Linked DNA regions of Mus musculus. The protein of the gene in region 2 interacts with the protein of the main gene of each other region in a pairwise test. Links are inferred from orthologs where the notes say so. Each region holds a gene or a part of one and is shown on either strand. Other genes may lie near its edges. The genes, in order: Tnnc2 and Tnni3.

Region 1 (4,596 bases), on a different chromosome or scaffold from region 2:
ACACCCAAGATCCAAGAGGTTCCAGAAATGGTGGGGGGAAAGAAGCGTTGCCTCTTACCTGGTTCCAGCTTCCGCACACCCTTACCCTATCCGTCCCAGGTAACAGGCGGCCGGCTCACCTTGGGACCTCCCTCTTCCAGCGCCAAGCGCAAGGGTGGACCATTTGTCCAGTTGCCCACTGCTAGCTCCAGCTGCTGGTAGCCGGCTGCGAACCTGCGAGCTCCGCCCAGCTCTCTGCCGCCCAAGCCTCCGGCTCGCGTGGCCCCTCCTTCTTTTCATACCCAGCTGCTCTGTGCCAGGCAGTCCCTAAGATCCCTTGCCCTCAATCAGTCGGTCAAGCCAGCTTTACATTGTCAACTTTTATTCCTTCCAGTCACAGAGCCCAAAGGAGCAGCCTTTCCCGTGTGAGGCAGGGAAAGCAAAGGTGGAGCTGCCCACGCCCAGGGGACCTGCAGTCTGGATGGACACGAACAAAGACCGTCTCCTTACTGAACGCCCTCCATCATCTTCAGAAACTCTGCGAAGAAGAGGGACTAGGTCAGGCGTACCGTTCAGGGCACAGCGGGTGCCTACTCGTTACCGTCAATAGAATGAGAAGGAATTTAGTCTATTCCCAGCCCCACCCACAAAGCCAAGAGCACCAGCTGGCCCTCACCATCAAAGTCAATGCGGCCGTCGTTGTTTTTATCACCATCCTTCATCAGGGATTCGATCTCCTCTTCTGTCACATGCTCCCCAGAAGCCCGGAAAATCTCAGCTAGCTCCTCAGCATCAATGTAGCCGTCTGCGTTCCTTTGGGAGGGAAGGACAGAGAAGGACACAGGGTCAACCTCACCCTGGCCAGCCTGCTTCTTCACTTCAGGCCCACGGGCTCCATCTGCTCTCAGGTCCAGGATCCCGGAAGCCCCACGCACCTGTCAAAGATGCGGAAGCACTCAGCCAGTTCCTCTTCGCTCTTCCCCTTCGCATCCTCTTTCATCTGGCGCACCATCATGACCAAGAACTCTTCAAAGTCGATAGTACCGCTGCCTGCAAGGATCGGGGTTGGCAGATGTGGGGCCTGCTTAGCCCAAGGTGCCCTGTGCCTCTCTCCTCCCGGTCCCCTGCCCTGGAGGAGCCCAACTCACCATCCTCGTCCACCTCCTCGATGATGGCATCCAATTCCTCTTTGGTGGGTGTCTGCCCTAGCATCCTCATCACGGTGCCCAACTCTTTAACGCTGATGTCCCCACCGCCATCAGCATCGAACATGTCAAAGGCAGCCTTGAACTCTAGCGGGGAGACAGGAGGAGCGATGGGTGAGGCCAGTTGGATTGTCAGCCTCACACCGCATCTCTCCCAATGGCTAGCTCTACTCACCAGCGATCATCTCCTCGCTGAGGTAGGACCTGGCCTCAGCCTGTTGGTCCGTCTGTAGAAAGCAGAGAGAATCAGAGCGTAGAAGGGCAGACTCTCACCCCAGCTTCAGCCTCCCTAGCCCCCTCTTGTATTAGGAAGAGCCCCTGGGTCCTCCAGAACCACTCCAAACCAGCAGTACCTCCCAGGTACCCGTTGGTGCCCATCCCCAGTGCCAAAGGGACACAGGTTATACCCACAGTTTCTTCAGAGAGTAGTCGGGGAACCCCCACCCCAACAGTGACCTTTGGCAAGTCACTCTTCCTATGACTTTGTAGAGATAATAAGAAATCAGGATTGAGAGAGGGCTTGAGTGTGTTAGTGCCATTCACTGGTGATCTTTTAGTTTCCCTGTCTCCTATTGCTGCCTGGGACTTGACCAGTTGGTCAATGAATATTTGTCCTCAACTAAATAACGGAATGCAAAAGTCACAGAACATCTGCCAAGCGCTTGGACGCTGAGACCACAAGAAGAGATGGGCAGCTTTGCCTCAGACAGTTCTCAGAGGCAAGACTTCCCACTCGGTCATCGGCGTAAACACCTCTCTTGATGTCAAATGTGACGGAGCCTTGCCCTGGTGTGAAAATAAAAACCCTTTGTTCCATTTCAACGTTCTGGCTTTGGTGTTTAGAGAGTCTTGCTATGTAGCTCACTCGGGTTGGCCTGGCATGCCACATGTGAGCATGTAAGTAAGATTTCTGTGAATTTCTCTGGGACACATCCAAGCCAGGCCATCTGGGTCAGGGCTTTGGACTCGGGATGGTGAAGAAGGGGTGACGAGTCCCAAGACATCCTTCAGCCAGCTGGCCCAGTTCCTCCTTCCCTCCTCCGGCCCTTGGCCTGATCCAGGAGGATAGGCTATTTTTAGTTGGGCATGGGCAATGGCAGCTGGTCTCTGGAGTCCAATTACTTCTTCAAGTCAAGTAGGAGGGGTACGCAGAAGAAAGTGGCAGGTCCAGATCAGACCCCCTCTGTGGCTGGTCAGAGGCTCTAACGCTGGCCGGGTACCCACCCTACTAACCATCCTCCTCAGGATTCTTAGAGGAAGCCTTCCTTCTTGGGTCGCCACAGGCTTGGCTGAGCCTATGAAGCCTACTCTGTGTCTGCCCTGCTGGGTCACTTTTCTGCCCTCGTGCTCTCCATCTCTCCGTGGAAGCAGACAGGCTAAGACCTTTCCACACAGCTCTGGCTGCACAATAGCACTGTTCCAAACCTCAAGGTGGCCAGGAACTCATAAACCTTGAAGATTAATTCCTGAACTATCCTGGCCAGCCTTCCCCACCCAAGAGAAGTCATAGCCTTTATAGGACATCTCCTCGGGACTTGAGTTCTGGCAACCCTTCCACCTTCAGATGTCCATATTCCTGCCCACAGAACACACAGTTCTAGGACAGAGAGGGGCCTAGAAGTAGCCTGGGGACAAAAGTGTGAAGACCCTTCTTGTCCTTACCATGGTTGCTGGCGACTGGGACTCCTCCGCTGTGGGTTGTCTCCTCCGCACTCCACCACCCAAAGGTGCCCCAGATCTCTCTAGCCCCCAGGATTTGTAGGGGCATCCTCTCTTCCCTCCTCCCTCCTCCCCAGAACTGGATATCCTGACCAATCAGATGCAGGGGGCAGCAAGCCCCTCCCCTCCTAGAGTCCTAGCCCATTACCTAATTTAGCCAAGGTCCTTTGCAGGGAAATTTAAGCTTCGGAGCAGGTGGCACTCTCTGGCGTTCTCCTGGATTCTTAGGAGGAGGGCCCCGCCCTGCTCCACTGTCTTAGGGGAGCTCCTCCCCCCACCCCACTCCAGCACATGTGTTTCAAAATGGGGGAGGATGTCCAGAAGGAGGGCACAGCAGAATGGGAAGAGCCCAGGCTTGACGTCCAAAATTCATTCATTCCCGACTCTGTTCTCCCCCTGAGCCACGGGAATGTGGGCGGATGGTGAGGGCCCTCAAGGCACACCTTCCTCCAAGATAGAAATGGCAACCATGAGCCCAGATGACTAAGTCACCTAGCTTGTGCTGGGTGCCTAGGGGAAGTGATGCGTAGCATTGAGCTAGTGACACCATGTATTGAACTCCCACAACCTGTGCCCACACTACGCTGAGCATCTTGATTCCGTGATCTCATCTACTATTCATTCCATGAAGGTAACTATTATTATCCCCATCTGACTACAGCAGAAGCCATACAGTCCATAGAGGAATTCTTTCCCTCACTTTGGAAGCCAGAGCTCATATAGTGCAGACCGGCCTTGAACCCCTTATGTAGCCGACGTTATCCTTGAGGTTCTAATCCCCCTACTTCCACCTCCAGAGGGCTTCGATCTACAGGCATGTACCACCAAACCCTGTTTAACTCCTTTGATTTATTTTGCAAAAGAGTCTGCCCTGTCAAGTGAGCCGCCCTCCGAATCCTGGGTTCAAGTGACCCTCTTGCTTTAGTCTCCCAAGTCACTGAGACTATAGGCATGCTAGATTATAGCGCTGGGTGGGAATTCAAGCCTCAGCCTTGTGCATGCTATAAAGTACTCTACCCACTGAGCTACACCCCCAGCCCTGGCGATTCTTTTAAAACGTAATTTTCTTAATGTGTATGGATGTTCTGTCTGCGCATATGTCTGTGCGTCATGTGTATGCCTAGGGCCCAAAGAGGCCGGAAGGAGACACCAGATCCCACGGTTGGGAGCCACCACGTGGGTGCTAGGAACTGAACCAAGGTCCTCTGGAAGAACAGCAAGTGCTCTTGAGCACTGAGCCGCAGCCTTGACAATTCTTTTTCTTTGCGGGGGTGGGGGGTGGGGGGTGGGGGGTGGGGTGGGGGGTTGAGACAGGGTTTCTCTGTGTAACCCTGGCTGTCCTGGAACTCACTTTGTAGACCAGGCTGGCCTTGAACTCAGAAATCCGCCTGCCTCTGCCTCCCGAGTGCTGGGATTAAAGGCATGCGCCACCACGCCGGGCAAGCCTTGCCAATTCTTATGTAACTTCATTGTGGGAAAATTTGGACAAGCATGACTCTGGGGACCACCTAGAAGTGTTCAGAGTAAAGAGAGTGAGGTTCACATTGTGAGGAGAAATGAGCACTGGAGAAAGTTTCTCTCCAGGTCTGCTCAGCCAGGGGAAAGGCGTTCAGGGCCCACTTTTTGGTAAGAACACTGGGTCCTCCAAATAATAAAGACAGCAAGAGGGTTTTTTTTTTTTTTTTTGGTCCGA
Region 2 (4,371 bases):
ACAAACAAACAATTCTCCCTTGTCCCTTTCTTGCTCTCTGTTTCTAATCTTCTTCCAGCTCTGGCCCCAGATTAAAGCCTCCAGCCTGCACCTCCATGTTCTTCCTGATGCTCCTAGCAGCATCCCGCAAAGTGTCTATACTGGCTAATTTTGTGTCAACTTGACACAGCTGGAGTTATCACAGAGAAAGGAGCTTCAGTTGAGGAAATGCCTCCATGAGATCCAACTGTAAGGCATTTTCTCAATTAGTGATCAAGGAGGAAAGGCCCCTTGTGGGTGGGACCATCTCTGGGCTGGTAGTCTTGGCTCTATAAGAAAGCAAGCTGAGCAAGCCAGAGGAAGCAAGCCAGTAAGGAACATCCCTCCATGGCCTCTGCATCAGCTCCTGCTTCTTGACCTGCTTGAGTTCCAGTCCTGACTTCCTTTGGTGATGAACAGCAGTATGGAAGTATAAGCCGAATAAACCCTTTCCTCCCCAATTTGCTTCTTGGTCATGATGTTTGTGCAGGAATAGAAACCGTGACTAAGACAGCGTCTAACACAACTTGAGCCCACTCTGTGCAGATCATTATTCCCTGTCCCAGAGCTCAACTCAATGCTCAGTTTCTACAGGCCCGTTTGTGCCACCCAGGCTCTACTCTGCAGAGACAGCTTCCTTTGCCACGAGGTACCTGTGCCACTGCCTGCTTTCTGCTTAGAGTTATCTCAAGCACAAGAGTCCATAGCCCCCAGCCCGAAGCTACAGTCTGGAGATCTTGGTGTAATGTGAAGGTCCCAGGCTTCCCCGGGCTCCCCACCTCAGTGATGTTCTTGGTGACTTTTGCTTCCACGTCATATCTCTCTTCATCCACTTTGTCCACCCGAGCGTGAAGCTGTCGGCATAAGTCCTGGTGAAGGAACGCGTGGATGCTGAGAGGGAGGCTGGAGATTGGGTTCCCTGGTCTGAGAGAGGAGACCTCTGGGTCTGAGGAAGGAGGCCTAGGCTCTGGACCCCCGAGTTTGAGAGAGGAGTGCTGGGGTCTGGACTCCTGAGTCTGAGGAAGGAGGGGGTGAAAGGAAGCTGACACCGGAATCTGCACTCCAGGGAACTTAAAGAAATATGGCCGGGAACTAAGAATTCTGAGACCTGGCAGATAGAGGCTGGAGAAATACACTGGGTTTTGAAGCTGTAGGGCTGAACGTATTGCTTGGCATAAGGATTGCAGATCCTGAGCAGAACTTGAGATGGTGCTTATGCTCCTGATACCCAAGGGATGCCAGGCCAGAGATGAGGAACCTCGGGTCCCAGGCTTATCCGGAATCCTTGCTTTGTAAACTGGTACCTGAAGCTCTTCAAAGCCCAGCCCATCCAACTCCAAAGGCTGGCAACGAGTCCTCAGAACGCGCCCCTTCTCTCCACGTCGCTCTTCTGCCTCTCGTTCCATCTCCTGCTTCGCAATCTGCAGCATCAGAGTCTGCGGAATGGTTGGAGCAGACAACAGAGTCCCAAAAAGTATAAGAATAACAAATTTCCCTCCATCCTCCAGAGAGACAGAATATCCGAACATCCAAGTTTGTGTCTTTTATTCAAAACCTGCCTCGTTTCTGCCCGCGCGCACGTGGGGGGGGGGGGCGGGGGAGGCGGGGACTGACACACTCCGGAAGCGAAACCACTCCCCCAAAGCTCCGCCCACCCAAGCCCACCCACTGCGACCTCATCATCACCTTCAACTGAAGTTTTCTGGAGGCGGAGATCTTAGACTTTTTCTGCCAAGGTGATATGGAGAAAGGTCAGTGTGAGGTCCCAAAGTGGACACTGGGTGGAGCTGCAAGGCATCACGACCCACTCGAGTGCATACCCATTCGGGTCAGACATTCTTCAACCAGAACGCGGAGTCCACTGGAAGCCACGCTCCTCGGTCCCATCTACCAATCTTTGTCTCCGACTAGAGCTACGCACTGCCTATCTATTCACTGCTAACCACTACGCTCACGCCTAAACCTTGCTGTAGGCAAGTTCCCCCCAACCACAGGCCGCTGTCACCAAGCCCAACCTGAACCTTTCTGAAATTCTGCCCCACCCATAGGGCTCTGCCCATCACCCTACCACCCCTTTCCAGGGCCTTGGTCCTGCCCCCTTCTGGGTCTCAGAGGATTCTTGAACCCAGAAGCCCATCCTCTTGGACCCCGCCCCACCTTGGCGTGTGGCTCGGTGGCATAGGCTCGGTAGTTGGCAGAGGAGCGGCGTCGGACAGGAGCAGGCGCAGGCTGCGGTTCCCCAGCCTGGAATTGAAGCAGGCTACATCACTACCCAAACCCTCCCATCCAGCCCTTCCTGGATACCTCACCTCTAGCGGCAGGTTCCCCTGCCCACTGGTCCCCAGTCCTCTCCCTGCAGCACCCACTCTGGACCGAAGGTTCCCTACCCCACTTCTTAGCTCACAGCTCACCGCATCGCTGCTCCTGAAGAGAGAGAAACCGTGAAGAGGAAATCACTGATGGTGGTCCCCTGACTCTTGAACCCCAGGAGTCTGATTCCCAAATTCTTACCTCATTTCTACAGAAATCCAACCACCCTTGCCTCCTACTCTCTCAGGACAAGTATCCAACCTGGTTGCACCCTCAAGACCCACCGCACCTCTCCCTGTTGAGGTCTCCACCCCAAGGCTACGAAGATTCACATACTCATCAGCCATGATGATCTCCAGAGGCAGAGAACAGGATCGGAGATTCCTGGAGGGTCCTGGAAGGGTGTCCCTGGTGACCTTGGAGGTCTCTAGAGGTTGGGTTTCCTCTGGGCTGCTCAAGCCTCACTGAGGACACTGAGATAAGGGGCGAGGACAAAGACTAAATATACTGCTGTCTCCTCCCCTGCCCAGGATAAGCGATAACAGGGTGTGAGGGGAGCCGTGTGCAAAGCTCCAGTTGGGTCAACCAAGGTGCCCAGGATCTACACCCCTCCTCCTTTGACTCTAGCGCCCCAGCTCCCTCCTCCCTCAAACTTAGGAAAACCCGGAGCAAGGTCCCTCTTCTCTCAAATCCAAGAGTCTAGACTTCAGCTTCCCATGTTCATACCCAGAAATCCATGCCGGCCTTCTGTCCTCACACCTAGGTCCCTCACTGAACTGCAGTCTTTCTGGGACCTAGTGTGTCCTTTCTCTCCCCCACGTTTCTGTCGGTTTCAGTGGCCCTGGCATGTTTAGTTTGAAGGATCTTATCCTTCACTCCTGTGAAATTCAGCCAAGCCCACTTGCAAACCCACAATCGGGACCCATCCCTGCTGCTCCCACCCTTCTTGGCACTGGAGACCGACTGAGGACAGGACACACAGAGGTGACCCTGCGCTTTTTATTTGAATCACATTCAAGGAAGGCTATGCCCTTGTCCTTCCCAAAAGCAGCATGTCAAGAAAGGCCCAAGACAAAAGAGAGGATCTGGAGCCCAGGGTTGTCCCTTCAGCCTTCGATCCTTGTCAGGATAAGTCTCAGATAACAGTCTAGGACCCATCCCCCACCCTCACCCCTACCCCCCAAATAGTACAACCGAGAGTTCCAGGAAAGGAATTTGAAGTTCTAGTCATATCCCTGGGGTTGAGAAGGAACGCAGAGTAAAACCGCATGCAGGTGGGCTGAGCTGGTGATGTCAATCCCTGGGCCTGCTTCAGCAGTTAAAGGTGGGCTACGTGGTCCCTGGGGTTCATGTTACATGTTTTGGAGGTGCATTCACCCAGGACGTTGCCATAGCTTCCTGGAGTGGGCTTATCACTTCCGGAGGAGAGGCCAGGTCGGCTTGGGGAAGGCTGATTGCTTCTACAGGCAGGACTAGCTTAGCCTGGGGTGGGCTCATCGCCTCTAGAGGTGGGATCTGGTCAGCTTTGGATGGGCTCAACGCTTCTAGAGGAGGGGCCTGGTTGGCCTGGGGTGGACACATTGTCTCTAGAGGTGGGGCCAGGTCAGCCAGGGGTGGGCTCATCGCCTCTAGAGAGGGGGCCTGGTTAGCCTGGGGCGGACTTATCGATTCTGGGAGAGGGGCGCGGGTAGATTCCACTTTGGAGGGCGCGGGTCCAGATTCCACAGCTGAGTCTCCGCCACCCGGAGTGGAGTCCCCTAACTTGTAGAACCTCGCAAAAGTCTCCGAGGGTTTGGTTGCAGTGTGAGGGGCGAACCCAGCCACCCGCGCTATCTCTACAACGCGGTCAGAGAACGCCTTCAACTCCTTGGGCCGCAGGTCCACCAAGTACCTATGTTGGGAAACTGTGTGTGAGGAGACCTGGCTTTTGGCCCAGCTGTGACCTTCCCACCCCACTCCTCTGGCTCACCGAGCTAATTCCACAACCAGGTTCCCTCCGGGGGCCACGCAAGCCCCGAGCTCAGGGCTGAGAAGATGGACCAT

The links.
Region 1: the proteins of Tnni3 (region 2) and Tnnc2 interact in binary tests that used the Homo sapiens proteins (3 or more experiments, as listed by UniProt). The two-hybrid records come from large-scale screens. The link is inferred for Mus musculus from reciprocal best matches to the Homo sapiens genes TNNI3 and TNNC2.

Annotation. Positions count from the first base shown.
Region 1 is NC_000068.7:164,776,817-164,781,412, forward strand, and holds Tnnc2 (troponin C, skeletal muscle), read right to left. Parts: upstream 2,919-4,596; 5' UTR 2,850-2,918; coding exon 2,847-2,849; intron 1,412-2,846; coding exon 1,360-1,411; intron 1,272-1,359; coding exon 1,128-1,271; intron 1,030-1,127; coding exon 915-1,029; intron 793-914; coding exon 656-792; intron 518-655; coding exon 486-517; 3' UTR 345-485; downstream 1-344. UniProt on the Homo sapiens protein: Troponin is the central regulatory protein of striated muscle contraction. Tn consists of three components: Tn-I which is the inhibitor of actomyosin ATPase, Tn-T which contains the binding site for tropomyosin and Tn-C.
Region 2 is NC_000073.6:4,519,641-4,524,011, forward strand, and holds the start of Tnni3 (troponin I, cardiac muscle), read right to left. Parts: upstream 2,889-4,371; 5' UTR 2,676-2,888; coding exon 2,665-2,675; intron 2,443-2,664; coding exon 2,430-2,442; coding exon of another isoform or gene 2,406-2,429; intron 2,263-2,405; coding exon 2,176-2,262; intron 1,747-2,175; coding exon 1,705-1,746; intron 1,455-1,704; coding exon 1,323-1,454; intron 888-1,322; coding exon 798-887; intron 1-797. Other genes in the region: Dnaaf3 (dynein assembly factor 3, axonemal), read right to left, coding at 3,676-4,219, 4,298-4,371. UniProt on the Homo sapiens protein: Troponin I is the inhibitory subunit of troponin, the thin filament regulatory complex which confers calcium-sensitivity to striated muscle actomyosin ATPase activity.